Linked DNA regions of Anolis sagrei. The protein of the gene in region 1 binds, or shares a complex with, the protein of each later gene. Links are inferred from orthologs where the notes say so. Each region holds a gene or a part of one and is shown in the gene's direction. Other genes may lie near its edges. The genes, in order: SART3 and USP4.

The links.
Region 2: the proteins of SART3 (region 1) and USP4 are in contact, whole or in part, in a crystal structure (PDB 5CTR), measured with the Homo sapiens proteins. The link is inferred for Anolis sagrei from reciprocal best matches to the Homo sapiens genes SART3 and USP4. Residues at the interface, in NP_055521.1 of Homo sapiens: Asp437, Ser438, Ser439, Lys440, Gln490, Arg493, Glu494, Trp496, Asp497, Met500, Thr501, Ala505, Trp511, Tyr514, Lys529, Arg533, Cys537; in NP_003354.2 of Homo sapiens: Met24, Thr27, Leu28, Ser53, Trp54, Glu123, Gly125, Leu126, Phe127, Val128, Lys129, His130, Cys131, Lys132.

The regions. Positions count from the first base shown.
Region 1 is NC_090034.1:29,969,201-29,977,106, forward strand, and holds the start of SART3 (squamous cell carcinoma antigen recognized by T-cells 3), read left to right. Parts: upstream 1-3,552; 5' UTR 3,553-3,598; coding exon 3,599-3,739; intron 3,740-7,425; coding exon 7,426-7,552; intron 7,553-7,906. Other genes in the region: iron-sulfur cluster assembly enzyme ISCU, read right to left, coding at 1,484-1,588. UniProt on the Homo sapiens protein: U6 snRNP-binding protein that functions as a recycling factor of the splicing machinery. Promotes the initial reassembly of U4 and U6 snRNPs following their ejection from the spliceosome during its maturation.
Region 2 is NC_090022.1:75,214,708-75,222,613, forward strand, and holds the start of USP4 (ubiquitin carboxyl-terminal hydrolase 4), read left to right. Parts: upstream 1-3,730; 5' UTR 3,731-3,826; coding exon 3,827-4,086; intron 4,087-4,419; coding exon 4,420-4,547; intron 4,548-6,050; coding exon 6,051-6,181; intron 6,182-7,015; coding exon 7,016-7,142; intron 7,143-7,906.

The DNA.
Region 1 (7,906 bases):
CTCAATCTAGATGCAATTAGGAACTATTATCATTAACATAATCATCAGCATTAGAACCATTATCATTATTACCATCATCAATATTATCATCATCATCATCATCATAGTCAGTATTAGTAACATTTTCATTATCATTATCAGTATTATTACCATTATTATTGCTGTCAGCATTAGTACCATTATCATTATTATTACCATCATCATCAGTGCAAAAACTGGGTTGCAGTTAAACATAAAAAAACCAAGATTATGGCCACCAGACTGATTGATAACTGGCAAATAGAGGGAGAAAATGTGGAGACAGTGACAGACTTTGTATTTCTAGGCACGAAGATTACTGCAGATGCAGGCTGCAGCCAGGAAATCAGAAGACATTTACTTCTTGGGAGGAGAGCAATGATCAATCTCAATAAATAGTGAAGAGTAGAGACATCACACTAGCCACAAAGATCCGCATAGTTAAAGCAATTGCATTATATGGATGTGAGAGGTTGACCATAAGGAAGGCTGAGTGAAGGAAGATAGATGCTTTTGAACTGTGGTGTTGGAGGAAAATTCTGAGAGTGGCTTGGACCGTGAGAAGATCAAACCAGTCCGTAGTCCAGGAAATAAAGCCCGACTGCTCACTGGAGGGAAGGATATTAGAGGCAAAGATGAAGTCCTTTGGCCACATCATGAAAGGACAGGAAAACGTGGAGAAGACAATCATGCTGGGAAAAATGGAAGGGGCCAACGAAGGGCAAGATGGATGGATGTTATCCTTGAAGTGACTGGCTTAACTTTGAAGGAGCTGGGGGTGGCCACGGCCGACAGGGAGCTTGAGTTCACAAAGAGTCGGAAGTGATTGAACAAATAACAACAACAACAAACACTATTATTACCATTACTATTATCGTCAGTATTAGTACCATTAACATTATTACCACCAGTATTATTACCATTATACTTATCATCTTCATAATCAGTATTACATTATCATCATCAGGATTACCATTATTATCATCAGTAGTAGTACAATTATCATTATTATTACCATTATCATCAGTATTATTAGCAATATCATCATCAGTATTATTACTATAATTTTTATCATCAATATTATCATTCTTATGATTAGTATTTATTACCATTATCATAACCAGTAGTATTACCATTATTATTATATTATTATGATTGTTATCATAATTATTATGATTATCATCACTAGCATTATTACTATCCCTTTTCTTCTCTCCCAAAGAAGGCTCTGAGCGGCGCATGCGCACAAATATCCTACAAGATGTGTCCAATATCTTTCCTGACCCTAACTAGTTTCCCCGGCCTCCAAAGTGCTTGGGACTGCTGCTCCCAGAATGCTCGGCCACAGGCCAAGGCAGCCGAGGCTTCTGGGACTCGAAGTCCCAAATGCCAAGAAGGGGCTTCCAAAGGCCAGCGAGGCCGAGCTTTCTTTTGGGCCTAGAAGCGGAGGAAGCCTCGGGCTCACCTTCTCGTGGTAGCCCGCGACCAGGGAGGTGGAGGCCGGGCCCGGGCGAGGCCGCAGAAGGGCTGCCGCCGCGCTGCGCACGCTGCTTGCCCGAAGCGCCGCCATCTTGAATGTTTTGAACAGAGGACAGTGGAGGGCAACGGGGGCGTGGCCCCCGGGGGCGTGGCCGCCAGGGGAAGAGCCGCAAGGGCGCCATAGGTCACGCCTCCTTGTGTCGTCACTCCCTTCGCTAAGCCCAGCAAAAGGGGGGGGGGGGGGGGGAAACGCGGTCAGGAGTTAAGCCTTTACCTTCCAGAGGTTCTTTTCTCAAACTTCCAATATTATTATTCCAATAACAATAATTCCAAGTCCCACCAAGTACAGGGTCGAGGTTAATCTTTGTATGTTGTGGATTTTGAACTGTACTTTAATGTTATATTATTAATAATATTATTCCAATATATTAATTTTATTGGGATAATAATAGATTATTAATAATGTTATTTGAATAATAATAATCTTTGTATGTTGCGGATTTTAAATTGTATTTTAATGTGATATTATCATTCTAAGAATGACTATAATGAATGACTCTAAAGAATGACTCTCCCTGCAGACATCAGACAGGCGCCCTCCCTTATGTCCTTCCGAAAAAGCCTTAAGACATGGCTGTTCGAGAAGGCATTTAATTAAGTGCTATAAAAATGTGGTAAAGACGACTGGAAAGGAACAAGGAATATGAGATTGGTTATGATTCCACTATGAGACGAAGCGGATTTTTAGTGTAATTTTTGTAATTGTTGTATTGTTAATATGTTGTTGTAATTGCCTCTTTGTAAATTGCCTTTTTATATGTGTTGTACACCGCCATGAGTCGCCCTAAAGGGCTGAGAATGGCGGTTAATAAATGCATCAAATAAATAAATAAATAAATAAATATAAAATTTTTCCAATATTATTATGATTCTAATAATGATTCCAAGCCCCAGCAAGCATATCACATGAAAATAAAGTTTAAAGTTCACAACATACAAAGATTAACATTCATCGTGTGTTTGCTGGGACTTGGAATTATTATTAATGGAATTATCATTATTAATATTATTAGTAATATTAATTTGAATAATATATTAATAATAATATTCCAATAATAATAACAGTATTATTCCAATATTATTGTACTATTATTATTATTGCATTATTAATAATAATATCACATTAAATTACAATTAAGAATCTTTAATGTGATAATAAATATTAATATTCCAATAATGATAATACTAATGTTCATTCGTTCAGTCGTCTCCGACTCTTCGTGACCTCATGGACCAGCCTACGCCAGAGCTCCCTGTCGGCCGTTACCACCCCCAGCTCCCTTAAGGTCAGTCCAGTCACTTCAAGGATGCCATCCATCCATCTTGCCCTTGGTCGGCCCCTCTTCCTTTTGCCTTCCACTTTCCCCAGCATAATTGTCTTCTCTAGGCTTTCCTGTCTCCTCATGATGTGACCAAAGTACTTCAACTTTGTCTCTAGTATCTTTCCCTCCAGTGAGCAGTTGGGCTTTATTTCCTGGAGGATGGACTGGTTGGATCTTCTCGCAGTCCAAGGCACTCTCAGCACTTTCCTCCAACACCACAGCTCAAAAGCATCGATCTTTGAAACATAACAAGATGAGTCCACAGCAGACAAGATCACTCTGCTGGCTGATATATTGGATCACACGTCATATTATTATTATTATTATTGGAATGATATTAATAATAAAATCACATTAAAGTACAATTTAAAATCCGCAACATGGAAAGATTAAAATCGATCCCATCCTTGTTGAGAGTTGGAAGAATTCTTCTTCTTATTTGATTAATATTGGCATATTTTTATTGTTACTATGCTTCTTTCAAGGGCCAGCAAGCATAGGCTGCCATTGAAGGACAAGGAAACTGACACACTCTTGATGGCCGCCCCGGCATCCTAAGCCGTGCTTCCGGAAAGGACATAGTTTGACCTTCCTTCAAGCCCCCAAGCAGAGGCGTCTAACGGACCGCTTGCTGGAAAGATGCAGGCGGCCAAAACAGTCGCGTCATTTCCCGTCAGGCAGTGGATTAGACAGCTGAAAGGGCTTAACGGCGGAGAAAGATGGCGGACGGCGGCGAAGCTGAGGCGTCGTTGTGGGCCGCAGGAGGCTCGGAAGGGGACGAGGAACTGGAGTCCGAAGACTCCTCGGAGGCCGACGAGGAAAAGGAGAACCAGGCTGAAATTCAGCGCTTGGAAGAGCAGGTGAGGGCCCCGGAGCGGGGCTTCGCGCGGGGCGGGGCTTCGCGATGGGAGACCACGCCCCCTGAGGAAGCATGGCTTGCATTGCATCCAACTTCCAATGCCTCCTTCTGTTTGATGCAGGTTTTCAATGTCATGGTTTTTTAAAAAAATATGCCTCAATCTAGAGATCAGAGATATAATAGTATGAATAATGATATTAAAATATAACTAATAATCATATATAAATAATATATACATTTAATGGATAACCTTAATAGCCTTATATTTTACAATATTAATATAATATATAAAATAATATAAAAATAATATAATTATACATGTTATCTATATAATATAAATGTAAGGGGAATAGTATGAAGGCTGGGTCTGGAAGCTCAGAGTGTTACACTGTTTCCGCTTTGCTCCTTCGGGAGCGCTGTTTGCGCAACGCAAAACGGAACACAAATATTATAGAAGGCATGTAAGAGTTCTTTAATGGTATTTATTTATTTATTTATTTACTCGAACCCTAAACCTTACCCTAACCCAAACCCTAAACCTTACCTTAACCCTAATCCTAATCCTTACCTGACCCCAAACCCTATTCCTAACCCTTACCTTATCCTAACCTTCCCCTCCATTCTATCCTTCCACCAAATGTAACTACGAAGTATAGTCCCACCCTCAGTGTGCCGATCTCCCCTTCCCTTATTCACAACCGCCATTGCGGAATGTGCGTAACGCTCGGAGCTTCTGGACCCAGCTATCATACTATCACCAATGTAAGTATAATAATATGTATATAAATATCTATAAATAATATATATATATATACATAATGTATATAAATACATAATGTAATTATATACATTGTGTGTGTATATATATATTATTTTATTTACTGCATTTTTACCCCACAATACCTCCACTATCTCTGTGTTAGACTACATAGAGAAGCCATTGAAATCCACAAGAAGCACGTGAACAATTTCAACAGAAAGAAAGAAACCATGAATATGAACAAAATCAGGATACAAGTATTAAAACACTCTGAAATCAGGACAGTAAATAAAGAACAACTCTAATAAACAGGGGAAATCCAGAAAGGAAGCAATCAGGGTCAGCAAACACCTCCCAACCAGGCAGGAAGCTGCCAGGATTTGAAACTGCTATTCAATGCTAATCAAGCTGGCAAGTGGCAACATTCACACTTGCCTCAAACAGTCAAGAGTTCTTTCTCCCACCTTGGACATTATTTCACAGATATACAGGGTGAAGCACCATAACTTCCTTTTTTCAAAACTTAATAAAACCCATTGTATGAATCAGAATTTTTTTATAATGTAGGTGCATACCTAAAGTTTTGTTTTACGTAGTTTTGAAGATCAAATTAGGTAGGTGATGTCCCCCATTCTCCATACACTGAGTAAACTGATTTCTAGCATTTGTCATGACTCTTGCCAGCATAGCAGGCGTTATGTTGGCAATTTCTTCCTGGATGTTGGTCTTCAAATCTTGTAGGGTCCTTGGAGGGTTCACATAAACACGGGATTTCAAAAAACTCCATAGAAAAAAAATCACAAGGGGCCAAATCTGGAGAGCGGGCCAGCCCCTCCAAATCCCCCCTAATTGAGATGAGGCGCTCTGGGAAGTGTTCCCTCAAAACAGCCATAGATGCTTTTGAATTGTGTTCAGTTGCACCGTCTTGTTGGAACCAAATGTCCCCTAAATCCAACCCATCTAGCCTTAGGAAAAAAATTCCTGTAACATGTTTACATACCAGTCCGAATTAACTGTCACTGCAATTTCATTTTCCTCAAAGAACCAGGGACCAATAATTCCAGCTGAGGAAATTGCACACCACACTGTGATTTTAGGTGAATGCAAAGGCTTTTGATGCAATTCTCGAGGATTGTTGTCAGCCCAGTAGCGCATGTTTTGTTTGTTGATGGATCCACACAAATGAAAATGGGCTTCATCACTAAAAAAACCCCAATAGTGTCCTCAGGAATGACTTCGAGAAGAACCTCACACGCGTTCCTCCAAGAATTGAAGTCATGTTCAGAAAGTTCCTGCACAATCGCCATCTTGTAAGGATGGAAATGAAGATCATCATGAAGAATTCTCCTCACAGAACGATCGGGAAGTCCAAGGGCAGACGCATGTTTGTGCGCAGAACGCCGTAGTGATCGCAACATTGAAGCTCTCACTGCCTCAATGTTCTCAGGTGATCTAATGGGCCGAGGGACTCCAGTTCTTTGTTTTGTCGCACTTGCAGTTTGTCTGAATGTAGTGACCCACGTCACAATTGATTTCCGTCTGGGACAGGGGCCAATGGGGCTAAATTAAAGCGAATCCGAAAGGCGCGCTGGGTTGCGATCACAGAACATCCGCTCGAAAAGTAGGCCTCAACGGCAGAAGCACGCTCCTCACTGTTCCAACGCAGGATGGCGACTGAACTGTGTCAGGACAAAACTTTATACTCCCGCCTCTTGAATGAGACCACTAGCGCTCCGTTACGTCTTCAACCGACTGAATGGCACGCATTTTAAAAAAGGAAGTTATGCTGTCGCACCCTGTATAAACCCTACTTGCCTAGTTTTCAACAGACCTCACAACGTAAGAGGATGCCTGCCATAGATGTGGGCGAAACGTCAGGAGAGAATGCTTCTGAAACATGGCCAGGCAGCCCGGAAAACTCATAGCAATCCAGTCATTCCAGCCATGAAAGCCTTCAACAGCACATGGCATGGATTTCATCCTACTTCCATTGCCTCATTCTCTTTGTTGCAGTTTTTAAATGTCATTGTTTTTTCTTTAACTGGCTTTGGTCCCCGGCATTGCCCGGGTTATTTGAAAAATTGTACAAAATTCATGAGGTTGTGGGTAAACTACAACTCTCATCATGCCAGGTTAACCCCAAAAGCTCAATCAGTACTTAAAGTTTGTTATGTTGGGCAAGTTTGCTCTAAATGCATCACGGGTGGGGTTTAGTGTGCTCTTTGGCTTTAGGGTAAACTGCAACTCCCATTATGGGGAGTCAGTTCCCTCAAAACTCTCCAGTAGGTTGAGTTAGTCATGGAAGATCTGTGTGCCAAGTTTGGTCCAGGTCCATCATCAGTGGAGGTGACAGTTTCTCTGGTTGCAGGTGAACTAAAACTCCTAGAAAGAAATGCCAGTTCCCCCCAAACCCCTCCAGTAATCAAATCTCGGCATAACAGGTATGTGTGCTGAGTTTGCTTTAGATCCATCATTGTTTGGGTTTACAGTGCTCTCTCAATCTAGGTGAACTGCAATTCCTTCAAATCAAGGTGAATTTCCCCCAGTGTATTTGCTTTACACTGTTTCTGTCTGTAAGCCGCCCGGAGTCCTCTAGGGGAGATGGGGCAGTATATAAATAAAGATGTAGTCGTAATTGTTATTATTATTATAATATATAAGTAATATATAATAATATATGTAAATAATAATATATGATATAAATAATATGTATAAACAATGTGAATAATATTATAAGTGGGGTATAAATAAATGTAGTAATAATAATTTATAAATAAATAGAATAAGAAGAATTAATAATATTAATTAGGCTTTAGCAACTCCAAATTGCTGCAGTCTTTGTAATGTGAGGCGCACATATGATTTGATGGCGCATTAAACTCGATCAATGCAGTGAATGAGTCAAACCCTCTTTTGCCTTCTTCCAGCTCTCGATCAATGCCTTTGACTACAATTGCCACCTGGATCTGATCAAGCTGTTGCATCAGGAAGGGGAGCTGGTGCGGCTCCGCAGGGCCCGCCAGAAGATGAATGAACTTTTCCCTCTCACCGAAGGTAGGCTTTGGAATAAAATCTGTGACTTAATCAACACTGTACTACAAGACATGTAGCACAATTGAGATCAACACAGGCTGGATCTATACTGCCATATAATCCACTTTCTGAATCCAGGTGATCTGCTTTGAACTGGATTGTGTGGCAGCGTAGACTCATATGATCCCTTTCAAAGCAGATCACCTAGATTCAGAAACTAGATTATATGGCAGTTTAGATCCAGTCTGTGTTGATCTCAGTTGTGCTACATGTTTTGTTCTTCTGGTGATGCGTTAGAAATGAGAATGGCATTGCATTAATTTCTTTACATTTGGCCAGGCTTTAGATGTCAAAACTGTGAAAATGAAACAGAAG
Region 2 (7,906 bases), on another chromosome or scaffold:
ATATAGCTTACTCCTAGGAAAGGATTCATCTAGTATGCTTTCTGCAGCATCTCCCCAATATACTTATGATCAATTGGGCAATATGTTATGGGTTTTTCCTGTATTGGAGGATGCAGATAACTGTTCCCTAAATGTAGTTCCGTTTTCAAACTGTAGTTTCTGTTAGAAACCGAAAACTTCAAGTTAGTGCTGTGGCAATAAAATCTTATGAAATCTTTTTTATGCTGCAATAGGTTACATTTTTTAAAAATTTGAAAATTCCATAATTTCAATGGCAAGTAGAAAAGCTGGCATATCAGTCCATTGGAATGTATATAAGAATATATTTTGGCTATATTTCATCTAACTACTAGTGACAAAGTTTGGAGGGAAGCAAAGGATTAAATGCTATTTGCTGAGCTGTGGATTTAAGATTGTGTCCCCTCTATCCTTTAACAGGAGAATACCACCAATGAGGAGATCCTGAACTCACTGAAGTATGTCCGCCCAGGCAATGGGTATGAGCCTAACTTCATTGTGTTTGAGAAGTGTGAGGTCAATGGGGAAAATGCTCACCCACTCTTCAAATTCCTGAAAGAAGAATTGCCATACCCACATGATGACGCTGTGTCTCTGATGACACACCCACAGAACATCATCTGGTCTCCTGTGTGCCGCAATGACATCGCATGGAATTTTGAAAAATTCCTCATTGGTCCGGATGGGAAACCATTCAAACGCTACAGCAGGCGCTTTGAAACCATCAAGATCCAGGATGATATTGAAAAGCTGCTTCAACAAGTTCCTTAGAGCAAACCATATTATATCTTGCTGAAATGTCTTTCCACCTCTTTGCTTTCAGCTAGAATTACCCTAGGGTTGAATGTATTAATTCCCATGTTACAGTACATTTATTGTATGTCCCATATTAAACACAGCAATCTCATTGTGTGAAGGGAAATTATGTATGTGAATTACAACAGCAAAGCTTTTCTGAAATTGAGCAGTTTGTTTTTATGCTATAATGTGAATTGTACCTTTAGCTATTTCCTCTCACCTATAAGGCATAAGGTGACACTTATGTCTTGTGGTTTCTAAATGTGCTATAAAGTTAATAGGTACCCATTACAGCATAGTATCTCTGCTAAGTCTATCAATCTTTTGTTCATCCCTAGTCCGCATACACATTAAACATTCCAGATATGTGTTTCAAATATTACAGTTTAGTATCAACACAATGTGCTGTAGCATGTATGGCTTAAAATCATACTTTGTGAAGCAGCAATACTCCTGAGTACCAGACTTTGTCCTTTTCTGCACTGCTTATTTTTCTATGACTTGTCAGCTGTTTTCTTGATATTAATTTTCTATTCTCTATCAAAATTTTATTCATGATGGTGCTTTTTCTAAAGCCTTGAAAAGCACCTGATCTTCTAAAAGTTTGTGTGAAGCTATAGTAAATTAAATTGGGAAAACAGTTGACTGCAGCAGTTTGTGAAAATCATTGTCAAACAATAAAATGCTTGAAAACCATAGCTATAACTGAGCTATTTGTATTGCAACACAAATTCACTTATTTGTTCCAGTTTTTGTTCAGATAATGCATGATGAGGACACTTTACTACTATATTTACAATGATCTCAGAGTCTGCAGTCTACATTATTATTCACTTCTGTCTTGATCAAATTGGTTAGTTAAGTTTTTTAAAAAACAACAAAAACACCCCATCTTGAATATCTTACTACCTTTTCCAAGATGCCCTAAGAGCTAGAGTCTTTCACCTCCAACAGCACAATATATTGAACAGTTAAAATGAAATAGCCCTCCTTGAAGTTAGAATATAAAAGCCAAACTAGATCAGAGGAGTGGGTAGCATATACAGAGTAACATTGTCATCTGCTTCAATTTCCATACTCAACTGAAACAAATTTGCCTAAAGCCCTCCCTTTCAGTTTTGGAAACCCAAAGCTGAAAGGACAGAGCAGAGAGCTTTCCTGACTGTACAACACATTACATAGATGGGGAAATCTCTGTAGGAAGACTCACCTAGCATATATCCTCTGAGCTTTTCAGAACTAAATACATTTGCCTTTTTATATATTTGTAAAACTGGTGACACTTCTGGAGTTGAAATTTGTGGAGATTTATTCAGGTGTTATGCCTCTTTTATATGCCATTGTTTTAGTATAAGCTGCTAGTTATTAAATACCCCAAACCAGTAAATTCTAAACCTAGCTTGCTTATTACTGTGACATGATGACAGGTGAGCAATGAGAGCCAGAAGCTATGGCTTAAATATAAGCTTAATACAAATGGAAGGAGAGCTGGTATCTCACATAGAGTTCTACTATATTTATGGGGAAAAATAAGAGGTCTCTTACACACAGCTGAATAAAATTCCACATTTTCTGCTTTGAACTGGAATATATGGCAATATGGACTCAGATAACTCAATTCAAAGGAGACATTGTGGGATTTTCTGCCTTGATATTCTGGGTTATATAACTGTGGAAGGGGCCTAAGAAACAGGATACTTCAACCAGTCATAAAACTAACAATAGTGCCAAACAGACTGTTCTCACAACAATTCACTTACTAGCTATTGCCTGACTCTTAGTTGCAAGACTGCTGAACAAAAGGTCAGTGGTTCAAATCTGGGGAGAAGGGTGGGCTCCTGTCTATCAGCTCCAGCTTCCTGTGTGGGGACATGAGAGAAGTCTCCCACAGGATGGTAAAACATCTGGGCATCCCCTGGGCAACATCCTTGCAGACGGCCAATTCTCTCACACCAGAAGCAACTTCCAGTTTCTCAACCTCTGAGGATGCCTGCCATAGACGCAGGCGAAGCATCAGGAGACAATGCTTCTGGAAAATGGCCAGCAACCCAGTTTCACATCCCAGTTACATGATTCTGATCACAGTCCAGTTTAAGAGACTCTTTTAAAAAGTTTTTCAAGGGTGCATCTACACCAGGGGTCCTCAAACTAAGGCCCAGAGGCCGGATGTGGCCCTCCAAGGTCATTTACCCGGCCCTTGCTCAGGATCAACCTAAGTCTGAAACTACTTGAAAGGACACAACAACAATCGTATCTCATCAGCCAAAACTAGGCCCACACTTCCCATTGAAATACTAATAAGTTTATATTTGTTAAAATTGTTCTTCATCTTAATTATTGTATTGTTTTAAGTGTCTTTTGCACTACAGATAAGATATGTGCACTGTGCATATGAATTTATGGGTTTTTTTTTCAAATTATAATCCGGCCCTCCAACAGTTTGAGGGACTGTGACCCAGCCCTCTGTTTAAAAAGTTTGAGGACTCCTGATCTACACTGTCGCTCAGGTATGGACAAATCTGGGTCCTCCAGATGTTTTGGACTCCAACTCCCACCATTCCTTACAGCCTCAGGTCCCTTCCTTTTTCCCATTCAGTCGCTTAAGCAAAAGGAAGGAGGCTTGAGGCTGTTAGGAATGGTGGGAGTTGGAGTCCAAAACCCCTGAAGGGAGGGCCCAAGTTTGCCCAGGCCTGCTGTAGAATAAATGCAGTTTGGCACCACTTTAATTGCCATGGCTCCATGCTGTGGAATCAAGGGAGGTGCTGTTCTACAAGGTCTTCAGCCTCCTCAGGCAAATTGTGTGGGTGCCTCACCAAACTACAGCTCCCAGGATTCCAGCGCATGAAGCCATGTCAGTGAAAGAGCTGCCAAACCGCACCCACTCTTCGGTGCAGATGGACCCGGGCGGGCACCCTCGTCGTTGCCCTCTTCGCGCAAGGCCAGGCTGAATCCGGGTCTCTCGGGCGGCCTGCCGTTCTCATCCGCCAGGGCCTGGGCGTCGAGGTCGCGCATGCGCAGTGCCGCCCTTGGGCGTGCGACGGGCGAAGAAGGCGAGCCGCAGTTGAGAAGAGAGGAGAGGAGAACTGGCCGGCCGGCAGCAGCAGCGCGCGCAACCGTCATGGCGGCCGCCGAAGCAGGGTTCGAGGGCGGCGGCGGTGGCGGCGGCGGCGGCGGCGGAGGAGCCACGGCCAGCCCGAGGCCGGACGCGGGGACGCAGCGGGCTGAGCTCACGCCGCTTTTGGGGACGCCGCTGTGCCCGGGGGAGTCCTGGTGAGGAGGAGGAGGGCTGGCTCGGGGCTAGGCCGCGCGCCTCCCCCCCTTCCCCGCGGGGGCCGTTGGCCTCCGAATGGCCACGCGCGCGGCCGGAGGGAGGGGGCTGGGCAGGAGGGAGCAGTGCGCGCGGGACGGCGGCCCTGAAGGACCTTTCTTCTTTCCTCCTGCCTCCCTCCCTCCCTAGCCGGCTGCCCCGAAGGGGTGCTGCTGAGTCACCGCCCCGTCGACCCTTAGCAATGCCTTCCCGTCCTTCCTTCCTTCCCTCTCTCCTGAATCTTGGGCCGCCCCACGCACACTCACCTCGGTGCATTTTTCGTTTCATAATTGTAGGTACCTGATTGACAGCCGGTGGTTCAAGCAGTGGAAGAAGTACGTGGGCTTTGACAGCTGGGACCTGTATAATGTGGGGGAGCCTAATCTCTACCCAGGACCCATTGACAACTCAGGGCTTTTTGCAGGTAAACATGGTTGGGGGGAAATAAAAAGGGTTGGGGAGGGTAGGTTGTGTGGGTTTGGCAAGGGCGAATATATCTGGAGGCTTTATGCCCTCATATTCCAGCCTCTTCTAGGCGTGTTTTCCTAATTCTGAAGTAATATTTGGACCTCCCTTGTAATAAACTCTTGGTTGTGGAAGTTATAATTGGTTTCTAGCAAGTGTTGCAATCCAAACTGCTTTTGAATTCGAGAGGAGAGATTCCACCCTTAAATTAGTGTCTCAACAATTGCTTCTCACACCCTTACTGCCATTTGTTTGCTCACCTTCCATTCCTTCACTTAGTGCTGATTGTGAGGGTTTTTTTTTCTTACATAAAAACAGAAAGAGAACTAAAGAAGACATATGCTGGTGGCAGATATGATCACAGCCCCTTCATAAGTTGGTATATTTAGTGGGCCGTTGAACTTCAGATGTTTAGACATATGTGTTTTGCAATCTTTGGATGTCTCAATCAGTTCCTTCTTAGAGCTTTAGTTCTCAATCAGTTTTCTAACATTGATGCAAGGATCAGGTTTGTGATATGCTGAACTTGGTAAAGTGACGCACTTAAAATCTAAATATCTTTTCATTTGCTGCCCCCCTTAGTATTCTGAAGATCCTTGGGCTTGGATTTCAGTGTTGCTCCTCCTTTCAGGGAACTTCCAGGGAAAAGTGAAAGGGAAACTAGAGTCAGCTGGAAATAATATTTGAACAGGCCTTCAATAGGTTTAAGATGACACATTTTACAGAAAGTTGTGACTGTCATGAATTTGGCAGAAAGCAGTACTAAATTACTTGTTTTCTTTAGAAACTCTCTATATCAAGGGTGGGGGAAGTTTGCCCTGAGGACCAATCTGTGTACGTGGAGAGGGGGCAGTCATCTGACTCTTCTTTCTCCTAGAAATCATGCTTTTCTTCTATGTGCAAAAAGAAGTAGAAACTGGCTTCATAAATTGGTAATACCAAGGCTTTATTTCACATTCCATTGAGATCAGTGACAACAGCAGGATTCTCCCTGGCCTGCAGCTTGTTTTCCCAGTTGGAATGGCAAACTGCCTGTGGGAGAATCACTCCAAAACAAGTAGCAGAACTTAGGAGAGGAACATTACTTGTAGGCTGAGTCTAGTGGGTCAGTTTGGTCCTATAGGCTGGAAGATCATGTCCATTGCTGCATACCATTATGAAAAAAATAGTATGTGTCCTTTAGTTTTATAAATTCTTATTTGCTTTATCTTCCAGTTCTGTGCGGTACAATTTTAGGAAGCCTTCAATATCACACAGTTTGAAAATGTATTTGAATAGATTAGATGTTTTATTTTTTGAACACAAGGTAATGGTTTCTGAGTAACACTCCACATGGGCATGACTATTTGAATTGCCTGTGAAGATTTTCAAAGGTATCTGTTTGGCTGCTGCTTTGAAGGATGGCTGTGTGTTGAATTGTTTGCTCATTTTTCTGAGTGTAACTTATTCCATTTCCTTTTAGATTCAGAAACTCAGACTTTGAAAGAGCACCTTATTGATGAATTGGATTATGTGTTGGTTCCTACTGAAGCCTGGAATAAGTTAGTAAATTGGTATGGCTGTATAGAGGGACAGAAGCCAATTGTGAGGAAAGTAAGTGTTTGTGATCCTAGTATGATTTCTGGTGCAATCTGTCTGTATGTGGTTCAGAAATAAATCCCATTGAGTTCTGTTTTCAAAAATTCCTGTCTAACTGTGTGCATTTCTCTCTGATCAAGAAACAGACATGTCTGCATTGACTTTCCTTCACTTTTCTGACTTTTATATAGGACTAGAAGAGTCTAGTCTTGGGAGTTGTTGCTCAGTTGTAATTCTAACCAGCTGTGTTCTGCCTTTCCCACCTGTACATATCTATCACTGTCCTGGCAGCTTCCTACACTTTTCTTGTAATGTTATTGCCATTCAATTGGTCACATATTGGTCACAACTCCTCCACCTGTCCTCCTGAAAATTTTCAGGGATTAAAAAAAATGCTGGAGCATCTTAACTTTGTAAGTGTTTGTGCAACTTGGCCACAAAACACAAGGATTCTGTGGCACCTTTTCTAAAAATACAAACTTCTTTAATTTAAATCCCTTGTATCTGTCTGAAATTTGCAAAGTGTTGTACATTTTTCAGGGTTCCACTCTTTATAATGTCCTGGGAAGATATCTGAGAGCAAGAAAAAGAGGCAGCTGTCCCTCCCCAGTAGATATGTATGGCTAAAGACTACTGGGAACTGAACATGCAGTTTTATAGAATCTTTGCTTAGATAAATAAAATGACTGACAATGTGTTTATAAATGAGTGGATTTGAGCAAGAATAATTTGCTACAGATTTTATATCCATTAAAAATGTGATAGAAGTGAAAATGAAGGGCTGGTTTCATAAAATATTTTGCTGTCTAGATGTTTGTACCTGTCTCACAAAAAGTTTTTTCTTCTTAGGTTGTGGAGTATGGATTGTTTGTGAAGCACTGTAAAGTAGAGGTTTATCTTTTGGAGTTGAAGCTATGTCAAAACAACGACTCTACTAATCTTGTAAGCTCTTATTTCAGCAAAGCAGATACTGTGGGTGAGTCATTCTTAATGCCACAAGTCCTCTTTCAACACTTCTACATGCCTTATAATAATTTTTTAGAAAACTATACAGAGCAGGAATAGTTTGCTATTTTCTGGGGGTGCCTTGTAGTATTCTTTACATTCTGTTGAAAATAGCTAATTTCCTGTAAAATGGTAAATGCTGTTTGTCTGATATACATATATCATTGCAAAGTAATGTGCTGCTATATTTCAGTTCTTATCTTTTGACCTTAGCTACTGCTAGTGGCTATTTTGAACTTCAGATGTTCTTCTTGCATTAAAAAAATTCTGCTTGGAGAGTAATATAGATTGAGTATCTTTTATCCAAAATGCCTGGGACCAGATTTTGATATATCTGAGTAATGGCGGGAATCCAAGTTTAGTGCTTGATGCAAATCCACACCTCCACCATTATACAGATAGTTTGCATATTATCACTCCAATCTTTGGTCTCATTCATTTGCTACTTGTGCTGTGTATGGGGTGTGTGACTGGACTGATGATAAAAGTGAAGTGACATTTGGGGAACTGGGAGTACAGTTCTGTACAAGAGATCTCTGAGCAGCCTACCAGCTGCCCACTTCCACCTTTCAAAAAACAGGCAGGAGTGCAGCAACTACCATCTGCAAGAAAGCAGGACACTGATATAAGAAAGTTTTAGATTTTGGAACATTATGGGTTTTAGGATTAGGAAAAAACTAATAGGTTTATTTTGAAGGGAAAAAGAGATTTCTTATGTTTAGAATGAGAATATAC